2 linked regions of the Notamacropus eugenii genome follow. The protein of the gene in region 2 interacts with the protein of the main gene of each other region in a pairwise test. Links are inferred from orthologs where the notes say so. Each region holds a gene or a part of one and is shown on either strand. Other genes may lie near its edges.

Region 1 (16,089 bases), on a different chromosome or scaffold from region 2:
TGATTTCATGTCCCATTTTTCAGTGTCAATGATTCAGTAAAATAGGTTACAATGAAACTGCCATATCAGTTTGCTTCATATTCTGTCTTGTAACTTGGTATTGCTTTGGATTTCCTGTTCCAATAAGTCAGTAATTTGAGTGTATACTGACCACTGAGCTGGAAATGACTCTTGTATCAAGAACCAACTGTTTACTATAAGAATATCAAAATAATTCAAAGTATCAATGTTAAAAATTGTTTTTACATGCAACTGAGAAATAAGATATACAGGCAATGGGGTAGAGAAATCTACCTTACCATACCAGGAAATAGAAGGGGAAGGGAATAAGACAAGTAGGGGGGGATCAGAACAGATGGCATACTGGGGGAAGGGATAATCAGAATGCATGCAGTTTTGACGTAGGGGGAGGGGAGGGATGGGGAGAAAATCTGAAACTCAAAATCTTGTAGAAGTGAATGTTGAAAACTAAAAATAAATGAATAAAAACACTGAGGTCTGCAAACAGAAAAAAAAAGATATATGCTTACACATTCACGCATGCATGAACATCTGTACATACTGTCTGCTCCCTCTCTACAATACCAAATGGTAGGACAGGTCAGCCTTGAAGTTCCCAGTGAGATGCTAATGTGACATACAAACCACTCACTGATTATTAGATGTTAGTAATAGTTTGTCGTCCTGTTCCATATGAAAGGACAGAGTAGTCCAAACTAGTGAGGGGAATGTCTTCTATGTGCCTCTCCCTGTCAAGTTGTCTGGAATAATTTATTTTTCTGTGCCTTGCTGACTGTTGACTAGAAAGTATAGTGATATAGCAGGGAAATGGAGGGAAAAGATCAGGGTCCATCTTTTCTTCAAGTTAGCAAGGAAAGCGTGGTCAACCTGACACCTAGGTTCTCAAGCTAAATGTGTATAGAACTTTGAAGAAGAAAACAGAACAGATACCTAACAGGCCTTAAAATATTCCCATCATTAAGCATCTTTATGAATTCAAAAAGGGGTTTTTACCCCAACAAAAGAAAAGTATAGAGCTTAGAAATTTTCTTGTGAAAGTCCATTTCTTTGGGTTCATCATCAAAGAGATGACTTTCCCAAGTCAAAGCAATATTAAATTCAACTGTAATGGTGGGAATTCATTCTCACTGGCTTATCCCTCTGTCAGTGAACTGATCAATAATTTGCCTGCTACAGAAATAAAAATAAAAAATATGAGAAATTTTTAAAAAAGCAATTCAAAGCACCAAAAAAATTTGTTTATGATTTTATTTGAAAACTAAAACAGCCCATTACCTACATAAGTCACATTTCTGAAGTAAATAACTGCAAAGCCCAATTTAATAACCCTATTGATCATACGTGATTCTTAACCAGAGGGCTGTCTTCAAAGTCCTCATTGCCACCTAGTGGCCTGAAATGGTTTTCTGAAACAGTTTCAACTAGCAAAAAGTGATTAACTCACCATAATTACATTGAGCTACACTAGGTTCCAGAAGTAATTCCTACTCTTTTTCAATATTTTCTGAAATAAATCACTTGAAGTAAGATCCAGTTTCAAGTAAAGAGCTACTCTGAGACTGTGCTAGGATAAGCAAAACTGATTTGAGACCTATTTTTGAGTAAAACAAAGTTTAAAGTTAAAATGAATTCTTACTTTCTAAAAGTATGCTCTACACATGGCTATTGCTTCAGTTATTCTGTTAAAATGTATTTGTCTAGTCCAAAAATAGATCAACTTGGGGGCAAAAAAGGAAGAATGTCCCTAAAATGTCCAGGTGGAGAAACTGTGTTTATAAAAATACAGATGGATTTAAAAATGGGAAATCTTTAAAACAACTGAAGACTGCTAAAATAATTAAAAAGTGATAAATGGTGGAAAGCATGCATTTACCAATAAAACTACAGAAAACTGTAAGTGACCTGATAAAGTCTTTTTAAGTATTGAAGGAAAGGCATCCAAGAAGCTTTTTATTAAAACCTATACTTCTCACACAGGCAAATAAGCCACAAATGTGGCATTTTCCTTGCTCTCTCCCACTGTCCCCAATCCGTCTTTTGATAGAGCTATGGATTTTGATTATGAAGGGGGAAAAAAATTCTGAACTTACCTGATGACTTCTTTAAAATTCCTGAATGACAAGGACAGTGTTAAACTGACCTTGCCTAAAATGACTCAGGCAACACTCTAGCACTGAAGTTAAAATGTTTTCTCCAGTATTTAAAATTTTTGTTTCCAAAGTTTACTTACCTTCCACATGCAGTATTTTTCTACATAGTATCATAATGAATTGTCACTAAGAGTAATACACATCTGATTTTTAACAAAATTAAGATTTTCCTATTGGTTAAAATATGTAAATTAGGGGTAAAATGTTTGTTTAATATTCATCAGTGTTCTTTTAAATAATGAGTTTCCTCATACATAGAGACCATAGATCCATTTGCATATAACTATTCAGGTAGAATGACCTCAATAGTTTTCTTTTTTTTTTTAAACTAGACCTATGATTCCATTAGTGAGGAAAGATACCAGTGAAGGGCTCCCTTTATCAATGAAGAAGGCAACTATTTTACAAATTTAAGACAGAGAGCTGCGTGGGGTACTGAGAGGGAGTGTTCAGGGTCACATGGCCACGGCCAGTCACTCAGACAAGGACATGAATCCAGGCCTCTCCTGATTCTGAGGCTGGGTGGAGAACTTGTGACATAAAGACCACATGTGACCTTCTAGGTCCTCAAAGTGCAGTCCTTTGACTGAATCTAAACTTCACAAAACAAATCCTCTTAATAAAAAGATTTATTCTGTAAAACTTGGACTCAATTAAAAAGCCACACCCAAGGACCTAGAAGACCACATGTAGCCTCAAGACTGCAGGCTCCCCACCCCTGCACTAGGCCATGTTGCCTTTGAGAAATCTAGAAAACAATTCAGAAAACTTCCTTTGGGAACATTTTTTTTCCCTACAATTTAAAGAACTGTTCTCAAAACAGTCAGAGAGCATTACTCACTTTAGATATTAAAAAATCAAAGAGAAACTCTCCAAATAGTCTGTCACCATTGTACTTCCACCAGAGTGGTTTACCAGCAGAGCTCACTCAAAAGTAAAGTTGGAGAGTTTCTAAAAAGTGACTGATTATGCATGTTAAAGATCAGTATCATTAGTTAGTCTTCAACTTATTGCCATACCAAATATTCTAAGTTTGCATTTGTTTAAATAGTAAATAAGTTTAGGAAAATTTGACATATCTACATACCTTCACTGACTGCACAAAGCTGATGCCTTGCTCAGTTTCTATCCTACAATCATCACATTCAGCTTCCTGCACCTTTACGCTGCCGGAACCTGATGTCCTGATATTCAGATCTAGAAATGAAGAAGGAAAGACAAGTTAGTACAAGAGCTGAGGACAGCTCCTCTGAGAGCAGGGCAGTCGATACTGCATCTGGCCTAAAAGGCAGAGCTTATACTATAAAGCAGTACAGTCAAAACAGACAACCTTCAGTGGCTGTCTGAAAGAAAGTCCCACTATTTTAACCTCGGCAGAGGTTAGGCAGAGAGGCGATGAAGCTACTTTTCCTCTACTCTTCAAGAGAATACTTGTTTGAGACAGGTATCAGTATGACATTTATTACTATGAGTCTGGACAAGGGGCTGTGAAGTCACCTTATCTGTCTATCCCTAAGCATATATGGGATGATACTAAGGAAAAAATAATATATTAATGAAATACATTTGCCAAAAGAACAAAATACATCAAAAAGAAAAATATGATTTTTTTTTTCCTACTGGATAATGGAAAGATCATTCCATGGTCACATCTGAATACCAGTGCAGAATGAAGAAGTAACTAGGAAATGCAGCCGTGTTACTGGTGTGTACTACTCTCAGTGACTAAGGAGTGAAGAAATAGCTTTCTAGTCATGTTTACTAAAGGTATGATGCTAGACAACTGCAGAAAAGAAATACATTTTCTGAGATTCAGGGAGATCTCAAGGACAAATCTTAACTATAACCCTATACTTCAAAGATCCAAAATTTGATCATTGTAAAACCTCTCCTTCCAACCTACCTCTACCTCCAACCTCTTGTTACAGGTTTTGACTTCTCCATGCCTCAGGGCTGTCCTCAAGAGTCACTATGGTTCTCTCCCACCCCCCCAATAATTATCTTGAAACCAACCCTCAGGTAACTTGCTTCTCTGTAATTAACTAGGTTGTTCCTGAGATAACAGACTTCTGTTTTACCTAATGGTCCAGACTTGATGCCTTTCTATCCAATAGAATCCTCCAGAAGTTGCATTCCATTGGTATAAACTTCTAGAATCTAGAGAAGCATCACAGCTGGCCATTAAGCAACTCTGAGAACAATCATGAGAAAATAAAACTAAGATTAAGTCACACGCTAATCACTAGATGCCCTCTCTGAGCTAGCACCAATAGGAAACTGAACAAACAGCATGCTTCTTAACTGCAGTGAAATCAAGGCCCCATAGTTTGACAAACAGGGATTTAGGCTTACATGTCACCTTCTTTCTTCAGAAGGTTCCAAAGGAATTTTCAACACCCCTGTAAGTGCAGCTCCGACTTGATGAAATTTTTAAAACCACTATCTAAAACTACTAGAGAGAGCAGGGTGGTAATTACTGATTCTAGCTTAAAGCAACATAATCAAAAAGGATGACCTACACTGGTTGGCAGAAATACTTCTGTACAGCTCTATTTTCTGAATGGCACTCATCAAGGATCCAAATCCTGAATGTCAGGGAGGACTGGTGGATGGGATGGCAAAAACTACAGAAAGGGGAAAATTCCCAGAAGAGCCATGGCAGACTACAGTGTTGTTTCTCCCAGAGAATTTATCAGTACCAAAATGAGAGCTATGCATTAGAGCAACTGGTTTATATAATACATAGAGAAGAAATGAAACAAAACAGTAATAGGCTTAGTATCTGCATGAAGTAAAGGAGACCAAAGTGAACCAATTTATAAATCCTTCCAGTTTTATTGGTCCATTGGAGTAATAATAAAAATACCTAAAATATCACCTGAAAAGAGCAGTCAAGAATTGAGAATGTAATTTCAGAATTAAAATAGTTCTTTACCAATTAGAACATATATACACATACATGCATACACATATGCACACAAGCATGTAAATATGTCCATAGAAATACATATGTGCACGTGCATACATATATACACATAGTATAAGACTAGATGTATATGGAAGGTGCACTTTACAAGTTCTGAAAATGAATAAAGAAACTGTGCCTAGAACTGTGCCTAGAAAAAGTATGTTCAAGCAAAGTCAAATAGCACTGGGCTAGCCAGCCTACAAAAATCTCTGCATACCTGGTCTCATATAGACTGACAGATCAACCAACCATTGACATATGTCCTATAGGACATAAGGGAATGTGGTCTCAGTCTCTTACATTTTTATGCTTCGTAACTATTTTCTGAAGCCTCATTAGCACAAATATCTACAGATAATCCTGATTGTCTAAACACTTCTGCTTCACTGAGATAAGAACTTTCTTAAAACTCGGATCAAAAAGCATATTAGAAGCAGGTGATTTTATATGTTAAGATATGGGTTTGATTTCACCTCTACTACTTACTAGGTATATGACAATGGTCAAGTCATTTCACATCTCTTGATCTTTGTTTTATTAATTTAAAAAATATATGGGCAGTATATTGTTACTGTGTACTATACTAAGTTTTTTGGAAAGTTTGGTAAACTTAAAATCAATATGTAAATGTGAGTTATTACTTTTATTATATAAATGTATAGTGCTATTAATGTATTAAACACGTCCTCCACTAACGTCATATTCTGATGCATCACTGTAGGCCTATCGTGGGTAGAAATTGCTCTTTCTATACGGTTCAAGGAAATGGTCTAGAACTGTAACTACTGACATTTTCTACTCCCACAAGTATGACTACTTGTCATGTCAAGATGAAGCAAAGTTCATATATACGGCAGAAAAATACCCAATCTGCCAGGCCTTAACAATTTAGAAAAGAAAGTGTTGACTATGGTATTTTCAGTCTGTTGTCCTAGAACTAGCCTACATGAAAGGTGGCAAGGACAGAATTTTTCTCCATACCAGGGCAACTAAAACGTAAAGGGGTTAGTTACAATCTACATCAGTAAAGAAAGTACCATGCCAACAAAATCATGTCCCTTCCAGAGTGTCAAAGTAACAGTATTAAACATGAACTTGGGCTATAAATTCAAATTTGTCTGTAATATTAAATCTGTTGCATATAGGACCAAGTAATAATAAGCTTTCTTATTTCAAGATGGTGACCAACACCAATTAAATGAAGGATCACTGAAATTAAGTGACTATGAAGCACCCTTAAAATATGAAATGCTAAATAAAAAGCTAATGTGACCACTGCTGATGTGTAAATAGCTGCAAGACTGGAAAATAAGACATTCTTGGTTCTACCAATCAAACAACTTTGAGTAAATCACAATGGATCTGTAAAGCAAAGGACACTGACATTTAACATATAACCTACAGAATAAAGAGAAATAATGGAATCTCCCTCAATATACTCCAGAGTCAAGCATTATATTATCCCCTCCCTAATCTTTATATCAATACTTCAAGGAGTCATGATTTTATTGCAGTGCATACTCCTATTAATGCATTTGGCAACACTTCTCCTTATACTTGAATAGACTACCTCAGGAATGGCTATTTATGCAGCAAATTTATCACCTGATGGCAAGTGAGCCTTTCTACATTTAGGCAAGTCCTCCTCAGACAAGTCATCTGTCACCTCGGCTTTTCTACTTTAATAGGTCCTGCCAGATCTTAAGTTTAGCTGGTACTGCCTTAGAAAACCCAAGTTTACATTTGAAACAAGAGTAATCAGATGTGCTAAAACATAAACTCTGAAAATCTGGGTAGTTAATAAATCAAATAATTTCCCAGTAACGTAGATAAACTTTTAGTCACATTGGCTTAAAATTAATAGTAATAAAATTAGTTTTTAGATTGCAAAGTTGGGAGAAGTTTTTTTTTTTTTTTAAACCACCTTAGTGAGTAGATGATATTGTTTTAAAGTCTAGAGGCTGCTCTGCAAAACCTAACTGGTTCATAATTCCCAAATGTTTAGTAACAATTACTCATAGTCATCCTATAAAGACCTCTACTTTTACTTGCTAAATAGTAATGACTTTATAATCATCATCTCCTCTCAGGTTTATAAAAACACAGTAAGGCAAGTAGTATGTTTAAATATCAGTTACAGGGCCATTGAACTAACACCTCTGGAAGTGAAGACATGCCGAAGTGCCATCACTTTGTAGGGCCTAAAAGCACCTGCACACTGTATGCTGGCCGCTATCACAAGTCTCCGACTACTCCAATGACAGGGCTAGGGAGGCTGCAACGCGAGAAAAGGTTCGCCGAATCTGCAAGGAAAGGACCCAGGTTCGAATCACCCGGGTGGACTTGCCCTCCGTGACCTCGGACCGCGGGGGCCGGAGGCGCCTCACGAAACCCCCTGGGCTCACCGAACTTGAGGGGGACCTTCACCTCCACCGAGGCCTGGGGGCCGAGGCTGTCCGAGAGGATGGCCATCTGCTTCAGGGCCTCGTCGTACCTCACCTGGAGGCTGTCCAGGTCCAGGCTGCCGCCCTCCACGCCGCTCACCGTGACCAGCACCCGGTCGGCGTCCGGGTAGTGGTAAGGGTCTAGGGGTCTCACGGCGATGTCGCACGGGAGCCGCGCCCGCAGCCGCCCGAACGGGTGGACAACCAGCGTCCACTCCTTGAGCGGGGTCCGGCGAGCGCTGCTCTCCACCAGGCTGTAGGGTCTGGCCGGGCGGGCTCGGCGTGCCCCCGGGGCCGCGGCAGCCCGGAGCCCGGCCCATAGCCCCAAGAAGCCGAGCTGGGGGCCGCCTCGCCACCAGCCGGCGCTGGGGACAAACATGACCCCGGCTCAAGCCCGGCCCGAGGTCACCACAGCCCCGCGCCGGGGTTCTCTGACAGCGGCCGACCCGGCGAGGCTAACGGAATAAGGGGGGCACGATGGGTCAAGGTGAATGGGAATGACCCCCTGAGCCCCATACATCGAGCCCGCCCAGCCCACCGCAATCTGCCAGCCCTGCACGCCGCTACAACTCCTGGACCCCAGAGGCAATTAAAACCCGGGGACGGAACTCCCCAGCCTTCACCCACCAGGTGTCTTTTCACCCTTCTCAATCCCTCAATAACCCTGTGGGCCGACGGGATGGGTAGTTCTGAACTGTATAAAGAGCGTGGAGTTGTAGGCACTCAATAAACTACAAGTCCCAAAAAGACCGCGCCAGAACCTGCGGGACGTATTGCTGAGGGCGGATGGAAACACGAGCGGAAGCTTGTGAGTACGCAGCTGACTGGCTGTTTCCTGTGCCTCGAGCTCATTGGTCTATAGTTGTGGAAAGGGGGCGGGGGACCTTTACCAACCAATAGGAAACCTAGAAACCACTGGTGCGGCGGAGTTCCATGGTCTCCATGGATACAGGGGACGCGGCGTCTGAGGCTCTAGAGAGCGGTGCAGTAGTGCGGAAGAAAGGCAGAAATTCCCAAAGTCGAAGCAGCCAGCGCTGGAAAGAAAGGGCCAGGGAAGAGGGTCTATATTGCCGAAAAAGTAAGAAAATGAGTCATTGGAAATACGGGGAGGACCATGTGGGAGGCGGAGTCCAAAACTGATACGCAAAGTCCTGAGGTAAAGGAGAGGGGAACTGAGAGTGAAAAGTCGGCTAGAGAGGCCAAGAATTCAGTGAGCTTTGGAAACAGAAAAAACCATATATATCCGTATACACACCTACACATACATATAGCTGTAGGTTAACGTGTACATGTATCTACATACACGTACATGTATAGACATACGTAAATGTACGTATAGCTATTATGTTAGTAAATATTGCTTTCCTTTTCCTTACCCGTTCAGTCGCTTCGCTTGCTTCATCTGAAAAAGGAGGCTAGACTGTGTGATCTCTTAAATTTCTTTCCCATTTCAGTAGTCTGTGAATCCCTGACTGCAGCCCCACCCTCATTTCCTAGCCTTTCCGTGACCACCTTCTCCAACGAATTCCCGTTCTCTTATTCATATAGTCACAACTTACTGTGGTTGTTTTGCGTCCATAATAATTATAACACGAAATCTGAACTTCAGAAGTTCCACTTGTCCCAGAATGTAAAAATTACAATACTGTACAAGTTAGAAGAGGACGTTTCAAGATTGGATAGGAGGCCAAGGGTCCTGGATGATTTTGCTGACCATTATATGCATATTCAGAGTTATTTTAAGTGTATTTACCTTGCTTCATTCTTCTGTGTTTCCACCTCATCCTCAAGAGCTTTGGTCAATACGTTTTAGATTAATTATTTACAATTTTTAGGCTTTGTTGTCTTATTTCACTTATAAAAATCCTGTATCCATACCTCTTTTAAAATTATGATCAAAAAACTTCCAGGCACTTTAAAAATTCAATTAAATTTCTTATACAGCTGTCAAAATCTTTATAGACCCACAGATAGTACATTCTTTATTTAACAGTAATTCCTTCCCTGCGATGCACTAAACTGCTTATAGACACGAATACAGCCATCACTGTCATATACTAAGCATCTTATAGGCATAGAAATGAACCCCAAAATTCGAAATAATTTTGAAAAGACATTTATTTAGAATAACGGTTCTAAGAGTTTTCAAATTAACTGCACTAAGCAGTTAAACTATTTTGTACAGTAGGCCATTCTCTGGCACTATACTGAGATAGGTATCGATAAGCATAAACATTCAACTTTAGGTTGAAATATAAGCATAAACATTAAAATTTGGGGCACCCTAAACCTAAATTTGGGTGTACTTGGATGGGATTTAAGCATTCCCTGTAGCCATTCAGATTCCTTAATAGCATCTCTGAGGTTAGCCATTTTCTAGTCATATCAAGCTATGTATATATATACGTATACATATATATACGCATATATGTATATGTTATTTCCAAATAATATAACATATTTCCTTGTACACCCCCATTTTAAGCAAAATGAGTGACTCCTAGAAAATTTTTCTTGATCATATAAAGTTTTAAAAATTCACTAGAATTATGTGAGAAGTTATTACTACTAAGATTTTATGGTACTCCTACTATTTGTTTTCTTATTTTTCCTCTAAAAACAGTGTGGTGTAGTGAATAACAAAGCATGCTTGGTGTCAGGAAAATGAGACCTGTTTCTGATACTATCTGGGTAACCCAGGGCAAGTCACTCCACCTCTGTTCCTCAGTCCTAGGACCTTTCTACTACAAGTCATAGATGGATTGTAATCTACTTTGGTGGTAAATTTTCCCTAAAGTGAGTAAATCACAGATCGCTTGTGTATTTTCTTTAGTACCTTTTTTACAACTGATCTTTTGAAGAAGAAAATAAAGCAAAAAAAAATTCTTCCTAATGCTTTGAGTTTATCAAGCATAGCTTTATACTTCAGTGTTTCTATCAAACTTGGAAGACAAAAATCATTAACAGTAAAAATCCAGAGAGAAAGCATTTCTTTTTCTTATTTAGTTCCTGTCTTTAGCTTTCATAAATTAATCCTAGAATGAATGGATTTCTGGAATAAAAGAATTGATTTTTAAAAAGATGGAGATTGTTTTCCCACAAAATTTCTAATGCAATTAAATTCATTCCTACTTTTTTAGTGATTTGTATTTCAATTTATAATAGCAAAGGAAAAGATTTAGGAAAATGTATAAGTTGTTTCCTCAGGAAAACCCTATTAATTGAGACTAAATGAGTGGATATTTGAGTTAAAGAATATTTAAAATGCATATTTATTACTTCCTGATTTGAGGAGTGGGGTGGCAAGTTCCTGGACCTGTAAAGAGAACTCCCTGTGTGGAGACTTCTGCCACCGATGCCAACTAGCAAATTCATCTATAATTTTTAATCTTAGAATATTAATTTCAAATCTCTTGTAAAAGTGATGGGTCACAAATACCTTAGGGTTCTTTATAAGTTACAGGCAGGTATTTGATTCCAGCTTTTCTATATCTACTAGATTATAAACTCAGACAGTAGGAATTAGGTTGTTTTTTGTAGTCATCACTAAAGTGTCAGTAATTTTAATTAGTATATTTCTTTGAGTTGTGTGGATTTTTCTTAAAATGAAAAGAATCTATCAAGTTTTCCTACCTATTTCAGTTCCTGAATTTGATAGCCAATGCCTCTCCAAATGAATGATTCTGTAGTAGACCATCGTATTACTGAGGGGAAAGGCAAAGAAGCCATGGATAAAACGTATGTAACAAAATGAAGTTTATTGAAGGATGTTCTCTACAACCAACTGAAGCCACAGGATTGGGGCCAGGGTTATCTCCAATCTTGATCCTACACAATTCAGGGGTAGGAATCTGATTAGGTCCTTGACGAAAATAACATCCCAGATTTCTTTCTTTTTTGATATAGTAAAAGTCCTATCTTTGACATGCTCCCTTATTTTGTAAGTTTCTAAAGGAGATGAGCATTGGAGAAGAAGTGAGGTATTTTCTTTTACCTTTGCTCCCAAGGGTACAATTTTTGAACTTCTATCTAATCATAATCTCACCTCGTTCCACCTCTCTCCATGCTTCACTCCTACATCTGTTCCTCATCCTCCATAAGACCTTTATTCCTTCCATTAGTCAATCTTTGGCAGGCCATTACCCTTTCTCTGACTTCAATTTTTCTCATTCTTCAACCTTAACCCTCTAGTTAGCTATTTCTGCACTGTTCTACACTGTTTCCACACTGTTCTCTGCAGTTAAATCCCTCGCCCCTTGTCCTCTGGCCAGATTTCAGCCCTGGATTGTTCCCACCATACTCTTCCTGCATCTGCTCACAAGTTGTTGAATAAAACTGGAGGAAATCCTGCAAAGCCTGGTGATTGGGTACATTACAAAGTCATATTATCCAGCCTTATCTGTGCCCACACTGCAACAAGGTAGTACTTTTATTCTCTGATAATTGATTCCCTTTTTACCTGGAATGTACACTTTCCTTACCCCTACTTTACAGAGTTCCTTTTTTTCCTTTCGAGGCAATTCAAACACCTTCTTCTACATGAAGCTTTTTCTGTTTCCTCCAAATGCTAGTGCCCTCCATCTCACTAGTAATGATGTTGTATGTGTAAATTTTATATTTACTCTGTATATCCCCCATTAGAATATAAATTCCTTGCAGTTAGGGAATCTTTTATTCTTCATACATGTATCTCCATTCCCCAGTGCCTAGTTCAATGTTGCACAGTTGGAGCCTAATAAATACTTAGTGATTTGTTGAGAATTTTAATTGTTGGTTAGCCATGAAGTCTTTTTCTTTGGTCATTTTCTGCCCTGCTATCTGCTGTCATTCTACCTTCCAGACTGGCCTCCAGAGACCTTACCTGAGAGGGGTTAAGACAATCTTGGCTCTAGCTGGCACTGTTCAACTTTCTGTTTACCATCTATCCTTCAGCTATGTGTATACCTTTTTCACTTGTGCTTCCTACCTTTTGTTCTCAGAACCATAATGAAATCATCATTCCTGTGAGCTTGATTGAGTCACCTTCTCTGTGTCTTTCCTGACACAAATTCCCTTTCCTGGTCACTGTATCCTCATTTATACCACCCTCCTCCCCCATTAGAACATAAACTTGTTGAGAGCAGGTACTTTTGTAGTTATATTTCTAGAGCTTAAACTAGATCATGGTACCTATTAAACTGTTAATAAGTGCTTTTCAAAAGAGTGATAAAGGGAAGTGGGAAGAAAGCCTGCTTCATCCTGATTCTGGAACTGTTCACATAGCTTATCATAGCTACGGCAAAGTGCAAAGTCAGGCTACCTACCTTTCCAACCTTATTATTCATCTTTGTATTGTCCATGATCCAGCCAAATGGTTCTCCTTAACTATAGCCCTCCATCTCTCATCTTCATGCTTTGCACACGCTGACTCCCATTCCTCTGATACATTTTCTTCGTTCCCTCCTTCCCTCTTCCTCTTCAAATCTTGAATGTCCTTCAAAGTTCAGCTCACATGCCACCTGTTCCTCCAGTCCCCACCGTGTTCTTTCCACTTTGTATTTGCTTTTTATCTATTTTATATACACTGTAATATATGCGTGTTGTATTTCCCATTAGAATGCAAGACCTTGGAAAGCAAGAACTGTTTTATTGTTGTTGAATCCTGAGCATTGTGCCTGGCACATAGTAGGTGCTTAATAAATTGCTGATCGGTTGATTAAGTTCTCTGGCTCTGCCATTTACGACCTCTGTAAAGTTGGGCAAGTCATTTCATGTCTCTGAGCTTCCATTTCTTCATCTGTAAACTGAGGGGTCTGGACTAACATACTTATGAGGTCCTTCCAGCTTTAGAGCTGGGATCCTATGGACATTCCCCCATACAGAGAAAAATTTCTCAAAGTTTGTTTATGGCCTAAATTTCTAATTTAACTCTTAATTCTCTTCTGCTCATCTCCAGACTCCAAAATATACTATAGTTTTAGTAGACAGGCTAACATCCACACAGGACTTCTTGTACATTATTTCATATATTGGGATGTTTTTTGTTTGTGAGATAAGCAGTTGCAGTTTAATTTATTGTAGGCCAATAGACACACAATATAAGTAGTTCTAGAGCTCTCACATTTGCTGCTGCATTAGTAGTAAGTTGCCACAAGGTGGCAATTATGTTTTGCTCAGTCATATCGGAATAATGTTTGTTAGAGTCTTTGTGTTTGAAATTTAAATGATATATAATAAATTCGCATAAAGTCATTTCTTTTATGTTTATGCTATAGCTTGAATCACATGTATTGCATAATGGAACAAGTTCTAGGTTGAAAATAAGAGAAACTAGATTCTAGTCTTGGTTCTGCCATTAACTCTTAGCTTGACCTTGAAGAAATTGTGAGATCTTATCATTTTTACCTTCCCAGCATTTCTCCTCTATGTGCCCCTAGCCTACTAGCCTTGAGCCCTGATCACCTCTCAGCTGAACTATTGTAGTAGCCTGCTAGGTTATCTCTGTCTCATGTCTCACCCCACTGCAGTCCATCCTCTACTCATGGTTGCCAGAAGTGGTTTTTCTTAAAGATCAGACCTAACTCTATAGGTCTGAACCCATCACTGCTTCTGCCCCCTCAGTTAACTGCAGTGACTCTGTTACCTCCAGGATCAAAAATATATGATTCTCTGTTTGGCACTTAAAGTCCTTTACAACTAGTTCCTTCTTACCCATCTAGTCTTCTGAATTATAGAGTGCATGAAAAAAGAATAATAACATATAAGAAGTCTAAATGCCATATGTAGGAATTTTATTTGATCCTAGAAGCAATAGTAAGGCATTGGAGCTTCTTGAACAGAGAAATAAGATGGTCAGAACTGTGCTTAAAAAAGTCAGTTTGGGAGATGTGTAGACGATGAATTTCAGAAAATGGTTATCGTTTGTTTTTGATGTTTGTTCTTCATTCTCAAGGAAGACCATGACATCAGGGAGGGGATGCCACGACATGCAAATGAATTGGATTTAAGTGACAGAGGACTGTGAAAAGTCACCAGCCTCATTTTTTCCTCTGGAGCCATCTGGGTCCAGTGACCAGATATAGGTCAGGATGACTGGAGATGACTTGGCCTTTTTAAGCTAAGGTCTTAACAGGTCTCAATTTGACAGAGGCAATGCCCATTCAGTGGTTAAGGCTAGGTAAGAAAGGAGCCAGAGAATGGCCTCCCTACCTGGTCAGAATTTTTTCAAAAAAATCATTCTGGGAAGATAAGACCTTCAGAATTTCTGACCAAAACAGAAACAATTTGTTATTAACATTCACTCTAAGCCAATCAGGGAGGCAGGGATATGAATGAAGAACCTATTGCCTTAGTGCAGGCTAGAGATAAAGAGGGTCTAAACAAAGATGGTGGTTGTGACTGAAAACAAATGGATGAATTTAAGAGATTCTATCAAAGTAGAATCTGCAAAACTTAGCAACTGATTGTAATTGTGGTGTGAGTTAAAGGAAAGAATGGAAATTTCGTACTTGGAAAACTGACAGGATATCATGGTAACAAAGGACAAGCAATGACAACTGAAAACACAGTGGTGCCCTCAAAGGAAAAGAAATGGTTAATTGTTCCAGTGTCTAGGTTATGTTCCAATATTCCAGTCCCACCTTGAATCAGGACAGGGAAAGGTCCTAAGAAGGTGTACTGTTAGGATATGGTAGGCCCAAGTGGAACAGTAGAATAGAGAGAGCTGAAGAAACTGAGAACCCTGGGGAAAGCAGAAAGTAGAGGATAGGTAGAAGTGGGAGGAAAAGGGACTAGCTAGTCCGAAAAGGGGGCTAAAACAAATCTTTGCTTTACAGCTCTGCCCAGGGCTTGCGTGGGTTCTCATCAATAGGTTGGTACCTCATTTCTTGAGCTTTTCCTTTTCTCTTCCCAGTCTTTCCATCTAGAGTTAGAGAGGGCACACATTTTAAACAATATATTTATTATAAACTTAATGTTAAGCACAGACTCAAGAATTTACGCTTCAACAAATGTGCCTCAGTGTATTAGATTTTAACTCTGAAAACTATACTAAGATTTTTGGAATACTCTTCATGTTAAAAAGACTCTACAGTCACTCCCTTTAATCTCTTATCAGGATTTCTTGTTTAATTAATCCTGCTCTGATTTTCCTCCTTCAGGGTACATCTCCCTGATTCTGAGGCTAGCTGTATATCTATTATATCATAGTGTGAAACTCTTTCTTAAAATCAGTTTGAAATATGAAACTTTCCTATAGACATATAGCTAGTAAGTATCATCAAGGACTTGAACCAGTTTTGACAACAGGTCTAATTCCCACTATATCATGCTGCCTTCTGTGGGATAGAGAGTAGTGTATAGGATTTTAAGTAGAAGAAATAGTATGTGAAAAGACACGGAGACAGGAAAGAGTAGGAAATGGGGGGAGCACCATGACCAGAACAATTTAAAGCATAATATGCCCCAAGAGTAAGGTAATATGAGGCTCGAAAGATGAACTGGAGCTGTATTATCGAGGGCCTTGAAG
Region 2 (16,272 bases):
GCCAAAAAGAGAGTCTTAAACACAGGTCTGACCATGACATTCCCCTACCCACTTTAAACTTATTTCTCTCTATTTTGTACATACTTATATTTGTACATATTGCCTCCCCTAGTAGAATGTAAGTTCCTAATGTAAGAGAATGCCCTCCCTTGAGGACAGGGACTATTTTTTCTTCATAGCCCTAGGATCTAACACAATATTTGGAGCATCATGGGTCCTTAATAAATAATTGTTGATTGATTGGTAGTTGGGGAGATAGATAAAAAGATAACTAATAGTATGTGGAAACATTTTTAGTACTAAAAGAGCACAGACAGTGATCACAGTGGGTTAGGAGAAAGCAAAGAATTCACAGAAAAGGTAGAGACTTAAAAGAAGCTGGGATTTAAAGAATGAGTAGGATTTTGGTGAGCAACAAAGGAAAGGTGGGAGACATTCCAGACAAGCACATAGTTTATACAAAAGTCCAGAGGATATATAAAGTATTTCCTGGGATAATGAGTAGACTCTGGAACAGAGGGTTTCTGTAAGTGACTGGTGGGAAATAGAACTAAAAAGCTAGGTTGAGGCCACACTATGGAGGGACTGAAGAGTTGAGCTAAGGCATTTGGATTTTATCGAAGGTTTTTTTGTTGTTGTTCAGTCATTTCAGTCATGTCCAACTCCTTGTGACCCCATTTGGGCTTTTCTTGGCAAAGATATTGAAGTGGCTTGCCATTTCTTCCTCCAACTCATTTTGCAGATGAGGAAACTGAGGCAAACAGAATTGATTGAGTGATTTGCCCATGGTCACATAGCTAGTAAGTGTCTGAGGTCAGATTTGAATTCAAGTCTTCCTAATTCCAGGCCCCAGGCCCTATCCACTGTGCCACCCTGCTATAATTATCTTAGAGGTACTGGGGAGCTATTGAAGATTTTTGAGTAGGGCAGTGTGATTCAGGAAGATTGACCTGGCAGCAATGTATAGGATGGATTGAAGGGAGTGAATAGGAGTGAAGTAGGGAGTCCCATTAGGATGAGATGAAAAGGAAGGGATAGATAGGAAATTGTGAGGGTAGAATTGACAGGACTTATTTCTTCCTTAGATGGATGTTGAAGAAGATGATGAGGAAACAAAGATGAACTCTAAGGTTCAGGTGAATACTTCCAGGTGTACAGACTTTCATAATGATAGAGACAAATGGTGTCCAGGTCAAGGAAAGGCCCAGCTTCAAGTCCTAGCTATCCATTTACTATTTGCATAGACATATCTACTGCAGGCCCTAATGGGCTTTTCTCCCAGGTGCTGACAGGATTCCTTCCCATGGTAGCCCCTATCCTGACACTTTGCCTCGTAACTTTTTGCTGAAACAATTTCCCTAGTCTACACTCCTCAAGTCCCACTCATCTTCATGATGTCCCTCTTGAAAGGATCCTCTTTCACCTTCTCCAAATCCCTCAAAAGTGAGAATTGGACCACTTCCCCTTGCCTGGCATGACTCCTGATTGTGTGACTTCTCTCCCCTCCTCCCAGCCAGTTTCTAAGCTTCTTTGAAACTTAAGTTTCCTCATCCATAAAATGGGGACAATAATACTTATGGTAATTACTTCACAGGGATCATATAAAAATGGGAACACTTTGTATGCATAGAACATCCTCTCCCTGCACATTTTAGTACGTTAGGGCAAAGTCCTTCTTGCCTCATGCTAGTTATAGCTCTGCAAATAGTAAGTGATGCAGCTGGGACTCAAACTGAGGTCATCTATGAATGGTTACTCTCCCTATCCCTTTTTTATCTGTAGACAACAGACTAGAGTAATGAAAAACTAAAAATTAATTGATTCATTAACAAAAACTAAAGATTCATTTGAAAAGAACACATTCTTTATAGTTGGCTATTAATGACCTAAATTGTGTCGGATCCAATGGCCTTTTCTCAGGTCTCATCCTCTTTTGACTTTTCCAAATCACATGATGCTCTTAACTGCTCATTTATTAGAGCTCTCCTTCCTTGCTTTCTGTGCCTCTGTTCTGCCTAGTTCTCTCCTGCTTCCCCATTTCTCTGTTTCCTCTGCTAGGACTTCTCACTCTGACCTTCACTGTGACTATCCCTCTCACTCTCATGCTCTCCCCATCTTTATCCACTTACTCCCTCAGGGAATCTCCTCCATTCACATGGTTCAAATTATTACTGCTATGTGAGTTTCTCTCAAAGCTACATCCTAACCCTGAAAGGAGCAAGCGGAGACATGGAGCAATTATATTCCACAGCAGTATAAGAAAAAGCTGATGTGGGGGTGGGGTGGGGAGGAATACCTTTGCAGGGACAGGCTGCAGGGGATATCACGTAGGGGTGATGATTTCAGATTTGCAAGGTATTTAGCTCAAGTTCCAGCACCATAAAAATGCTGGTTATTTGATAACTGGCCCAACTCCATTCTTTCGAGGACAAATTAAGAGCTCTGTGATCTATGTGCAAGAAGTAGAGGAATGATCTTTGCTTCAGCATGTTGATAAAACCACAGTGGGATCAGAAAACCCTACTTTTCCACCACCATGCCAGCATATCAGTGGGAACTGACAATCTCATAACCAGTTGGTACATCTCATGCCTAGGGATGTGCCACCTTGAACCAGTTGGAGCTGACTGTTAAATTTTCAATGTCAGTGTATATACCATGGCAAATGACAAATGCTATAAATTAGGGCTTGATGTATTGCTTTATTGATTATCTAGACTTCAGAAATGAATGGAGAAAAGTTAATACAAATTAAAATTAAAAATGTGTCTTATGCACTTTTAACTCTCCAAAGAGCCAACTGTTAAATATTTACCATCACACCACTGCTCATGCTGATATTGCCTTGGGAAAATGAAGTCCATGTGTACTACTGGTCATATTAATGTGGAGCTACAGGGTCAGTAAGAGTAGACACCTAAGAATAAAATCACCAGGGCTAAAGTCAGCAATGAGTTTAATAGCTCCCAAGCTCAGCTTCAAGGTCCTATACCTGACCCCTAATGAAGACCCTGCCCCTTCTCTGAGGGCTGTGCCCATGACAAGGGCCCATGGTCTCAGACACTGGCTTTTTTCAGCTCTCCCATATTTTCAATTGTATGCTGGACAATTCTACTGTTTTTAAATCACAGTTGTCTCAAAACACAACTCATCCCAAACTGAAGTTATACTTTCTTTCCATATACCCTCCCTTCCCATTACCCCATTTCTGCTGCTGGTAGGACCCACTATCAGTTACCTAATTTAAATACCTTGGAATCATTTTGACTTCCCTCCCCTTCATGTCCTGAGTACAGTCTGTCACTGACTCTATTATTTCTTGTTTTGAAAAGTTGGTCTATTTGTTCAGATCTGACCTCAACTTTAGCTGTGTGACCCTAGACAATGCAAGTCACTTAACTTCCATCTGCCTTGGTTTTCTCCTCTGTGAAATGGGGATGATAATAGCAGCAGACTTCACACAGGCTTGTTGGAAAGATAAAATGAGATATTGGTAACATACTTTAGAAAACTTTAAAGTGATTTATAACACCAGCCATGTTGGTGTTATTGTTGTCATTAATTATTATTATTATTATCAGGCCAGGTTCAGTCGTGGAGGTCACCCTAGAAAAATCAATATCTATCTTTGACTATTATGTCTATACTCAGAGTTTACTCTGTTGAAAAATCACCAAATATAGCCTAGGTTTCCATAAATATGGATAACACTATTCCCATATCCTCTACAAGTATCCAAGGTAACAAATGCCCAATGGGTGTAGCTCTTAATGAACCAATCTATTTCAGGTCAATACCAGTCACTGTGATTTAATCAAGTGTTGTCTTTTTTCCTCTTAAGATGCCAATGGCATGCCCACAGCCTCTAATGGGAGGAGCTTTCAAGAGTCCCAAACAAAGGCTCACTACCCAGTAAACACCAAGTTGACTGGGTTACTCTCCTGATCAACTTCTATTTGCATCTATTAAGAAAATAGATAATGACCAGATAAGGATTGATATTCACATAGATATTGAGACTCTTTGCAATAACTACTTTTTCTGAGGCTTTTGACCTACAAATTGGGAATCCTGGATGTAGGCTAGAGCAGCTATTTTCAAAGAGGTCTCAGGACCCCTTTATAACTCTTAAAAATTATAGAGGACACCACCCAAAGAACTTTTATGTGAGTTACATCTATTGAAATTTACAGTGTTAGAAATTAAAATTATTATGAAAATACTTTTGACCTTATGGGCCACCTGAAAGGGTCTTGGAGAACCCCAGACTACACCTTGAGAAGTGTTGGTCTAAAGAGAACATTGAGCTTAGTATCAGAAGACATGTCTCTATCGTTTACCATCTATATGACACTGGCAAATCATTGAACCTTTCTCAATAGTTTTTCTCACCTTTAACAGAGGTGTAACCCAAGAGGGACCCACTAAGACTTTGTTTCAGGGTGCCAGTGAATAATTGACATCAAGGGGATACATACACATTATCCCTGCCACTGTTGGGATTTCCTTAAGTGATATTCTACCTGCCCTGTGCTACATTCTTATGGAGGCATATAGAAGCTATCAGGTGAGACATTCCCCAGTTCAGCCTGTTTAGCTTCTTCCAAGGGTGGGCTTCAAATACTACATGGTCTCTCTACCTCATCAAGACAATTTACCCTAGGCTCAGAATTGCTAGTTATTTGGGATGATAATAAATTACAAAGTTGTTGCCAGGATCTAATGAGATAATGTATGAGAAAACTCTTCATAAATTGTAAAGTACTGTACAAATAAGGTATTTTGACTTGACCATTATTTTGCTTAATTATTTTACTTCTCACCTTATGTCAGCTCTACCCATCAGTCTAGTTTCCCTTCGTTATATACATGAGATAATCATTAGTATCAGTCATTTTGTTATGAATTATCTAAAAAATAAATAAACCCTTTAGTATCTTCCTAATGGCATATCTCACCTTAGTTTTAAATTAGACATCATTTTTAGGTTAAAAATTCTAGCTAATATGATAACAGGAAGAACCATGAAGCTCTTAATTTGCTAACTAGGTCAGTTACGGATTTTTTTTGCTATGCTCTATGTTATCCTCTGAATTTTTAGTGATTGTAAAATAGGTCCAATTTATCTCTTTAGTTTTACAATATAATAATACTAGTAGTCAACATTTACGTAGCACTTTAAGATAATATTTAGAGTCAGCCCTTAGAATGTGTGCTCCTTAAGGATGGGGACTGTCTTTTTTTTAAAATTTGTATTCTCAGAGCTTAGAGCAGTGCCTGGCACATAGTGGAGGTTTAAGAAATGCTAATTGATTGACTGACCCTTTCAAAAATTCTCCCTTCTGGGAAGCTTGCCTTTTGTCCTTTATCTATCTATCTCTAGGTGATCACAATTAGAGGCAGTGGTAGAATGGTTAGGGAGCAGGCCTTAGAGTCGGGTTCAAATTCCTCTGACACTAGCTCTCTGACCCTGGAAAAATCATTTAAAACCTTTGTGAGCTTCGAGGAATTTTGTGTTATCTAAGTCATAAATCTCTTGGTGCAGGGAGTTTCTTCTTCTGATGAAATCACAAATCTTTATATTAACCTAATGTTTGGGGACTCCCAGGCAGATATATGTATTGGCAAGCTTAAAGATTTACCAACTGTGAAGGCAGAGACCTTTCTATAACGTAAATACTTTGCTTCTACCAGCAATACAGAAGATTGATCTTTTTGAGTTCAAATCCAGCCTCAAACACTTCATAGTTGTGTTATCCTGGACAAGTCATTTAACACTATTTGTCTCAATTTCCTCATCTGTAAAATGAGCTAGAAAAGGAAATGGCAAGTCATTTCATTATCTCTGCCAAGAAAATCCCAAATAGGGTCACAAAGAGTCCGGCACAACTGTAAAATGACTGAACAGCCACCAGTATTTGTAAAACCTACCTTACAGGGCTGTTGCAGGTTTGTAAGTGGTAAAGTACAAGGTAGAAGTGAACTGTTATTGGTGAAATGACCTTTAAAAAATAGGCGTGTCTGATTTATACTGAAAATCCATGCTTTGGCCTCCACCTCTGTCTTATGCCTGGTGTTATTTGCTTCTTACACACACCAGGGCTAAGGTGGGGTCTGGATACACCCTTCCATTCCTTCCGTCAGTCAGGGCAGATCAAGGCATACTCCCTACTAGACAGATCAACAGCTGCATTTCTGAAGAATCTTGTTCAACATGTCCTGACTTAAAACTCTTACTAGAGGGGGCCCAGAAAATGTAATCAAAGGAGACTGTGAGACTTCTTAATTTTATGTTGGGTATTTCACAGGATTTCAGAGCTGGGAAAAAGGATCCTCCTTCCAACACACCTCATACTGACAGCCTTTGATTGAATTGCTTTGATTTGGTGACAGGACCATGATATGTATAATTAAATAAGATATCATAATTGGAAGGAAGGGAGGGAGGAAAAAGGCATTTATTTAGCATTTACTGTTTATCTGGGATATGTGAGAGACCAAGGATACAAAAGCAAGCAAAAAGAAAGACAGTCCCAGTGCTTAAGGACCTTACTTTCGGACTTGGGAAGGTAACACCCAAAAGGGAGCTGGAAAGCTGGGGGAGGGGAGAAGACATTGAGGAGAAGGTCTCCTCTCCCTTCACCTTCATTCTGAAACTTGGAAGTCAGGAGTGGAACCAGGAGGAGAATAAAGACTGCAAAGTTGGGGGCTGAACCAGGAAGGGAACAAAGTTTGGCCAGGCGTTATACCCCCTTCTACAAAATGGAGGCCAAAGGAGGAATTCCCCTGTGGGGGAGGAGGGTGGACCTAGCAGAGGGATAGACTTGAGGAGGCTCAGACTTGAGGGAAGTTCCAGAATGAGGCAGGGGCAGAGGTTTGGAAGTCCAGAAGCGAGGGACAGGGCTGGTATCTCAAGACCCCAGAGCTCTTCAACTCTCCAAACCTAACCCCTCCCCCCAAATGGAACTGCTAGCAGTTTGTTTGTGTTTTCTTTAGCTGAATATCAGGATACCCGGGTTTGAATATTTGCATACCAGATTGAGGCGCTAAAGAAACAGATGGTGCAATTTATTATGATTGCATTCAAACCCTACTTTGGAATCTTAGAACTCTATTTTGGGGCCGAAAATTTCAAACAGCAGAGTTATAAAAGTATCTGTTCTCTGTTGGGAGGCAAGGCATTTGTACTGGGTGCCACATGGGACACTGAACATGTTCTCAGAGATGGCTGGTGTAACTGGGAACCTACTTACCTGGGGATTTCTCTTTTGTTTTAGTGTATTGGTTTCCCAAACTTTTTTGGCCTACTGCCCCCTTCTCAAAAAAAATTACTCAGAACCCCTATGGAAATCTATTTTCTTTAACCTTTTAATTAAAAAAAAATTGTGTCATTTAAAAAAAGATGCATCTTAAATTTAATAATTTACTGTATACTTGTGGTTTTTTTCTGCATTGGAATTTTGATGATGCAATATTATGTCATGTAACTGTATAGTATCGTATTATAAACATGCACATATTCCTGTGGATGCATGCTGGACTTCTTGACAACAAGCCTACACCCCTACCAATACTTACTTGTTAAGACCTGCCCTCCAACTTGACCACTGATGAGTTATAACTTGCATTTTGTGTGTTTATTTGGAAAAATAATGTAATCACTACGACTGATACACAACAGATGAAATGTGTACCAATATTTTTGTTCAAAATTATCTTCTTTCCTTATACTTCTACTGCCTCTTACTTTTATTCAATACCCACCACCTGCACCTGAGGCTACTACTGCCCCCCCCCCCCCCCCCATCATTCTAGCACCCCCTGGGGGGGTGTTCCTACTTTGGAACTTATATAGGGTTGGAAAGAGCAGTGAACTGAAGACTAGGCCTCTAGTCCTTGCTCTACCCCTTTACTCACTGGGTGACTTTAGACAACACGCTTAATTCCTGGGATTATCCTCTGTAAAATAGGGATCATAATAATTACACTCCCTTTTTTTATTGACCTATAAAACAATGTATGCAGTTATTAGACTGGACATGAGCTGCACCAAACTAAGTTCAGTGCCTTGCTCATAAAAGGTACTTAAAAAAAAACCTGTTTAATGAATTGAACCAATATATGGGGATCGAGCCAAATATCAGTCTTGAGCATAGGATCAGACCACTAGAGGAAACCATCTAGACCAATCCCCATATTTTGCAGCAAAGGAAGCTGAGGGCCAGAAAGTTTAAATACAGTCAGTAAATGTCAGAGGTGGGACTTTGAATGTGGAATCTCTATCTCAGGAGTTCTTAACTTTGTGTGTGTGTGTGTGTGTGTGCCCATGTGTGTATGATGGACTTCTTTGGCAGTCTAGTAAAAGCCTATGAACCACTTCTCAGAATAATGTTTTTAAATGCACAAAATAAAGCACATAGGATTACAAAGAAAACAAAGTATCGTGGAAAGATTAATTTTTTTTCATCCAAGTTCATGAAACCCCTGAAATCTTGTAGTTCATGGAACAACCCCCAGATATTAACACCTATTCTATCTCCAAAGTCAATTACTACATTCACAATTAAAAAGTTGCAGCTGGGACCTCAAGAGTCCTCTTATCTATCACCTTCATCTTAGAGACTGAATCTTGGAGAACTGAGTCAGGGAGACCTGAGTTCAAATCCTGCCTCTAATACTTAACTATATGTATGACCCTGGACAAATCACTTAACCCTATTTGCCTCAGTTTCCTCATCTGTAAAATTATCTGGAGAAGGAGATGGCAAACCTTTTCAATATCCTTGCCAAGAGAGCTGGACATGACTGAAAAACAACAGAACAAAAATGAGTATCATAATAGAACCTACCTCACAGGGTTGTTATAAAGATCAAATGAGATAATATCTGTAAAGTACCTAGTACAATGCCTGGCACATAGTAGGGGCTTAATAAATGTTTCTTTCCCCCTGAAGTCATTATTAACAGGGTGAAGATTCAAATCCAAGTTCTCCACATTTTAGCCAAATCCAGTGTTCTTGCTCTATGTATGCCTCTGGTAAAGGGTCCCTCAATGCTTCTTAAAACTCACTCTCCTCAGCACTGATCCATCTTTCTCAGCCACATCACTTGTGAAATATCCAACCCTAGGCCTTTTTCCTTGGTGCTCCTCGTTGGAACTGAATCAGAGGAGCATATCTTTTTGTCTCCAAAACTTTCATCTTTACCTTTTTTTTTTTTTTAAAAACTTTCTTCCATCACTGAACCCTCAACTCCAGGTATCTTCCGACTTCCCTTGGTTCATAATTCTGTTTAGCTCCCTGAGTTTCTAGATATTGGAAAGAAGTGGGGTGTAGAACAACAACAACAACAAAAATCAGAAGACCTGGTTTCTGGTCCTGCCCTGACTTTTTCTATCTGTATTTTCTTGAAGAAGTCACTTCTGTTTTCTCATAGATAAAAAAAAAAAAATGAGATTGGATTGGATGACCTTTTCCTTCTCTTCCCCTTCTAAATCTATGATCTGCCCCACCTAACTCCAAATGACCATTTCCCTCTTTTACCATAGCCTTGGTCTGGTATTCAACTCCCTCTTCCCTTTCTCACTTCTCTCTGCCACAGACTACTAAGTATAGAGTGGGTTTTCCACGACTTTTTTTTTTAAACAAAAGAAGAGAGAATAAAAACATCCAGGAAAAAAATCCCAGGATAAGGTAATCAAAAATTCATTTAAAACTCCCCATACTGAACGGTGCCTAAGATAATCTTGAACTAAAATTCCCTGGCCCTAGGTCAGACTTAATGACCTTCTCTAGATAATGATTATCTGGCTCCCTTATGGCCCCAAAAGAGAATCTGTTCCCCCCCCCCCCCCACCTGTCCTCTTCTGTTAAAATAGGATTTGTTCACCTGAATGTCCTGAATTGAGCTCGTTGGCCTGTTTGTGACGATCAAAAGCGATAACTTATGCAAACCCGCCTGAACTCTTTAAGGCTATATAAATGGTATTATTATGATTGTTACCCTTCCAGATCCATTCTCACTCAATCCCAATACATTACGGATTGCACAGAAGGTTTCTGGAGTGTTCTGCCTCCTTGTCCAACCTTGCACTTGCAAGGATATTTTCACTCGGGCCGTTGGCTCGTCCCACTAGGTTACGTTATTCTCTATTTCCCATGCCCCAGGAGAAGTCCTCGCCTTCTCTTTTTCCTGGATGGTTTGAACTGAGTTATAGCAGGTGTGGTGGAAGGACATTCCTTCGTCCCAAGACGAGATCTCGAATCCATAGAGAACATTTCAAGACGTGTCCGCTGTCTGAAAGGATGCCCATGCAAGGGCTGAGCAGGGAGGGGGTGCGGGTAGGAGGAGGCGAGGGATGGCGCTGCCAGCTCGCACCGGGGTACGTGGCACTGACTGTCCCCGAGGCTGAAAGGAGGAGGAGAAAAAGAAAGAGGAGGGAGTTCTCTCTCCCCTCCCCTTGTCCTTGCGCAGGAGGAGCAACCAGTAGACGGACAGCTCTGAGAGACTCAAACTGCAGGATCTGGGGACCTTTCTGGGCAGAGACCGAGCTGGCAAGGTTCACCGCTCTCGCCCCCTCCGCTGCTGAAGCCCACCCTGAGGATCGCAGAGACGGGGATGTCCAAAGGCTCTGCGCGCTCAGCCACTTGGAGCCCCAGTCCGGGTGGACTGCAACTCCCAGAAGCCCTTTACAGTTCCCGCGTGCGCAGAAGCCCCTGGCGCCATCTTGAAATCTGATCCTCAATCTCTGAGCTGGAACGTTAGTGGCGGCGGCTGCTTCGGCGGCCCTGAGCTGGGGCAGTGGCTGCGGCAAGAAGAGGAAGAGAGGTCGGAACGCCGTGCCGGTGGCTGGATGGCCGAAACCAGGATGGCGGGTTCAGAAGGAGTCCGGCGCCGGGGTCGCTTGGCATCCCCTTGAGTCTCCCGCCGGCGGACAGCCGGTCCACGAGGGGCGGGGACTCCCCGCGAGTGGTACCCAGAGCGGAGCGCGCGTGCGCGCCCAGGTAGAGGCACAGGTGTGGGGCAGCCGGGAGAGCGGGTGCCCAGGGGCATGGCGTGCCGCGCCACGGAGCCCCCGAGTGAGTGAGCGCTTCCCAGCCCGTCCCACCCGACCTTATCCCTCGCCCGTCCCTTCCCAGCTCATCCCCTCCCGTCCCTGGGAATCCAGGCACAGCCAGGACCGAAGATGAAGGAAATCTGCAGGATCTGTGCCCGGGAGCTGTGCGGCAACCAGCGGCGCTGGATTTTCCACACCACCACCAAGCTCAACCTCCAGGTGCTCCTGTCCCATGTCCTGGGCAAGGATGTCTCCCGCGATGGCAAAGGCGAGTTTGCCTGCAGCAAGTGCGCTTTCATGCTGGACCGCATCTATCGCTTCGACACCGTCATCGCCAGGATCGAAGCCCTCTCCATTGAGCGCCTACAAAAGCTGCTGCTTGAGAAGGAGCGCCTCAAATTCTGCATCGCCAGCATGTACAGGAAGAATAACGATGACCCCAGCACCGAAGCCAAAGTAGGGAATGGGACTGTGGATATGTCCAGTTTACCAGATGTCAGATACACGGCTCTGCTCCAGGAAGACTTTGCATACTCCGGGTTTGAGTGCTGGGCAGAAAATGAGGACCAGACTCAAGAAGCTCACAGCTGCCACACTTCAGAGGGCCCTGGAAACAGGCCCAGGAGGTGTAGGGGCTGTGCTGCTTTAAGGGTTGCTGATTCTGACTATGAAGCCATTTGTAAGGTACCCCGAAAGGTAGCCAGAAGCATCTCCTATGGGGCTTCTACCAGGTGGTCTACCAGTATATGTACTGAAGAGCCAGCCTTGTCAGAGGTTGGGCCACCAGACCTATCAAGCACAAAGGGACCAGCAGATGGGGAAAGCATGGAAGAAGGAACTCCTGGTTCCTCCGTGGAATCTTTGGATGCTACCGTACAGGCCAGCCTTCCACAACAGAGGGATGAGGAACCTGAGAGAGGCAGTAAAGAACTCCCAAAGTGTGATTGCTGCTCAGATGATCAAGCGATCCAATACACATGTGGCCACAAGCTGGAACTAGCGCTTAACATGATTAAAGGTTTTGACTATAAACCCATCCAGAGCCCCCGAGGGAGCAAGCTTCCTATACCAGTGAAATCCAGTCCACCTGGAACCAAGCCTGGCCATCTCATGGCAGATGGGACCAGTCCCAATTTCCTAAACAGGCCTGTGAAATCCCTTTCCAAGACACCTGTGGGTTGTTCCCCAGAGATTTCTGAACTGCAAGAACTGTGGGATGATCTCTATGAGGACTATTTGCCGCTCCGGTTCCAGGTAGATGATATGTAATACTATGACAATTCAGTTTTATCAGATGACGCAACTAGATTGTCTCCAGACTTTCACATGGCTTCTAATTAGTCAAAGTTAACCAGCAAAGTTAACCAGTCAAGTATTCTAACTCTATTCTTCCTTGACTTTCATGCTGCCCATATTTCTCTTGCCACTTTTTGGTGTGTAGGTAAATCCATTTGCAGCTTTGATTCTGCATGCAACATCAGTTGACCCCCCCCCCCCAAAATTTTTTTAAGCAAAAAGATTCAATCAACACTAAATTCTTAGTAAATGTTGTTTCTAAAAAAGGGCAGACAGCCTTTGCTCTAATGCTATCCCTCTCTTGTTTACCTCTTCCTCTTTTAGTTTCACAACTTGATTGATCCTTTTCATTGTCAATGAGAGGGCTAGTTTTTTCTTTCTCACAGACTAGCCTGGAACAGTAATCTTTTTGTGTTCAAGTGCTCCCAAAGTGATTGTAGCAGATGGTAGAGTTTGAGGAAAATCCATTAATTAGTAAAATGCTATCAGAAAAATGTTTTTGTTCAGCTGCTGTACTTATTATAATTAAGGGCATCATTTGGGGGCTCTTCTTCAAGATGGCTTGTTTTATCCCTTGAGTCTTTTTTTTAAAATTGTTTTAAAGGCCTTGGGGATTAAACTAAGATATTACTTAAAGCATTTAGGTGAAAGTCACTCCCAGTCATCAATCCCAGGTGCATTTGTGCTGAGTATATTTTTCACGAAACTGAGGTTTTTACATACTTGTCTTATGGCAAGAAGACCACTTCAACTAGTATTTTGATTTCACTTTAATGACTTGAGAGAGGCAATTGGTCTTAATTCAGCCTAGACACTAGAGAGGTGCCATTTTGTTTCTATAGTAACCATAAATACTAGATGCCTATAGTTTTCTTCAGTACTTCAGAAACAAATCATACTTGTTCAGTAATAGTATAAGTAGAAACGGTACAGGTACAAATGTTGTCATCTGGAGTGAATACTTAGAAATTATATTAGAGTACTATGAACTAACAAAAGCAAGGACATGAGTTTTATTACCTGAAGATTTGATGCCAAATTAAATTTCCCTAGTATCAAAATAGCATCCAAAGCAATATCTTCTCATGAGAAAAAAATAAGAAAATATATATAGTATTTAAATATTGTGCGCAGTATGTAAGGAATATCTGTGAAAATTCTTTGGAAAAAAATTTATAAATACAAGGTAGAGTACTATTTATATTATTTTTTAATTTTCTGCATTTTAAAAGTTAACTATTATGCTTAGGACCGATATATTTTCCTTTTATGCTTGTTCCTTTTATATACTTTCAGATGGAAATAATAATAATAATGATAACATATTGTTTATGTGTATGTAGTACTTCACAAAGCTTTGAGGTAGATTGTTCAATAATAATTTTCCCCCATTTTACATGAGGGAAACTAAGACTCAGAGAGATTTAAGAAGCCATTTAGTATGCTAGACATCATCACAAATAATGTTCAGTGCTTTCATATCAATTCTGCAGAAGTAATATTTGCCTAGGCAAGGTGGAAGGAGGAAATATTTCATTTCACAGGTCGATAATAGCTAAGGCAGAAGAACAATGACTGGAAAAGCATAGACCCAACCGGAAGAGTTTTGTCTTCATTTTCAACCACTGCTAATATTTTTGAATTGCAAGGTAGCACATCCTCTAGTCTAACCCTCTTATTTTACAAATGAAGACATTGAGTCTCCTAGAAAATTGTGACTTGCCTCAGGGTCACCTCTAGAAACTAGATCCCCTCATTCTTAACATTATGCTTTTCCTTCTCTGCTACACTGACTGAAATACTCTTTAAAGGTGGTAATTCTTAAGAGGATTTCCCAGTCCCTTCACGGTAACCAGAGTTACAGAAGGAGTTTTGGGAGATTCTGTAAAATAAAATGTGGTCGTACTAGACATGTTTTCATATGCCTCCATTTTATCACCTCCAGAGCTTTCACAAAGGTTCAGGATATGAAAAGCAGCATTTGAACAACATGGCCATTGTATGTGACCTCCCTGCTAGCTAGCATCTCCTTGCTTGAATCAGAATATGTAAGAATTAGAAAAGGACCTTAGAGGTGATCTAGACCAAAATCTTCATTTTATAGATGGGAAGGTCAGTTGCAGATTTTTCCCAAGTCACGAAACTTGGGACTACCCTATTTCCCACCTCTGCTAGGATCACTGTATCACAATGCCTCCTTTTATCCCATTGTTTGTGAAATAATATCATGACCAAATGAAAGAGAAGAATTGTAGAACCTATTTTATTATTCCAAAATCAGCAGTGGGAAATAAATTCTAGAAAGATGAATGGAATTTGCAGTATTATTTCTAAATAAAATCGGTGATCCGTTTTGGAAATTGGTCCTATTATTGCTTTCACTAGTGCTTCTTAGCAGGAGTGCTTCGTACAGAACCAGAGCTGAGTGGAGTAGAGGGAAAAAGAGGGCATTTCTCTTTTGTCTTGTCAGGCCCCTTAAATCCTTAAATGGGTAGAGACCTGTAAATGTGGTTTTGGTAACCCTTGCTTTAAAATTTGGGAGAAAAAGGCTAAGTAAACCAATGTCTCTGATCTTTTGTTTAATTCCACCCTTTCCTCAGGGACTACCACTCTGTTAATAAAGACTGCTCTCAGGGACTTTCTCCTGTTAGCTGATTTTCTCTGTGAAAAATATCCTAATATTTCTTACCTATTGATTACTTTATGTGAATCGATTTCATTCTTTCCCATGTTTTTTGCCAAGAATTCATGCTGTTAGCATTTTTTTTGTAGGTAGGTATAAAGCTATATTTTATTTAGAGACCTCTTTTCTTCATTGTCTGGTTTTGAACTAGAAAGGCCCTGGGGATATGCTTTCTTTCCCAAACAGCCTTTCAGGTTTCTGGTACATCTGGCATTTTCCCCTTTTCAGATAAATACAGACAGCACAAGATGTTTTTAATATTTGCAGCAAAGTTTGTAGTGACTGACATGAATCTCTCCTTTGTTGGAGCACTTGGCTTGTTGCAGTCATAGTTCCTGGCCACCCTTTGGAAGGTGACAAGAGTCCAAAGGGCCATCAGTCCAGGACCAGAGCTTTAATCTTCTACTATCGTTCTGTTGTCTGTCTTTCCTTTATTAGCAGCCTGAGTTGAAAATTACAGTAGCGTGAGGTCTGGGCCTTGTTATTTTGAGGGTGAAGCAATGCCAAGCAAAATGCTTTTTAACTGGAAGAATCTGAGTAACAGTAATAATGTCACAACATTAGTCTTAGATGGAAGGGTTGGCGTTTGGCTAGCCACCAGGCCCGGAAGTGGTTTTGCTTTCTAAAGCAAGGGAGTATTTATAGGTTCTATCTCTGGGCTAAGTGATTTCATTTTCAAATTGCATTATCATTCCAATGTCATTGTAACAGTTCACCAGATCTAGCAATTTAGATAATGTTGAACCAAAGTATTGCAGATTGAAGATTGGATAAAACTTTCACAATTCACTCTTGTAATAAGTATTTGATGCTTAAACATTTTAAAATACAGTCATCAGCATGATAAAAATACAAGTTCACAGTCCTCTGGTTAAGAACCCTTTCCCTAAAAAAAAAGGATTATTTTTCCAATACATAGGTATTTAGAACTGGAAGGAAATTTAAGAATAAGATTGTTTTTTGAACCAGGCCTGTGATTCATTGCAATAAAATATCATTGCAGTAAGAAATCTCTCATTGCCAGTGTGGACTGTCTGTCACCTGTTCTGCAACTCAGATCTTGGGAGCTGCCAGAGGCACTGAGTAGAAGTTAAAGTTACTTTTACCAGGGTGTGACAACTAGTAGGTGTCAGAGGTGGGACTCAAACCCAGATTGCCCTGATTCTGAAGCTATTTACATGTCCCAGCCTAATTTAGAATTAAAAACAAAGATGAAACATCCAGTTTCTGGATCTTT

The links.
Region 1: the proteins of PDE4DIP (region 2) and CCDC146 interact in binary tests that used the Homo sapiens proteins (3 or more experiments, as listed by UniProt). The two-hybrid records come from large-scale screens. The link is inferred for Notamacropus eugenii from reciprocal best matches to the Homo sapiens genes PDE4DIP and CCDC146.

The regions. Positions count from the first base shown.
Region 1 is NC_092874.1:153,281,429-153,297,517, forward strand, and holds the start of CCDC146 (coiled-coil domain-containing protein 146), read left to right. Parts: upstream 1-8,508; 5' UTR 8,509-8,661; intron 8,662-16,089. Other genes in the region: protein FAM185A, read right to left, coding at 3,259-3,368, 7,545-7,962. UniProt on the Homo sapiens protein: Essential for sperm flagellum biogenesis and male fertility.
Region 2 is NC_092873.1:300,431,896-300,448,167, forward strand, and holds the start of PDE4DIP (myomegalin), read left to right. Parts: upstream 1-10,191; 5' UTR 10,192-11,185; coding exon 11,186-12,310; intron 12,311-16,272. UniProt on the Homo sapiens protein: Functions as an anchor sequestering components of the cAMP-dependent pathway to Golgi and/or centrosomes.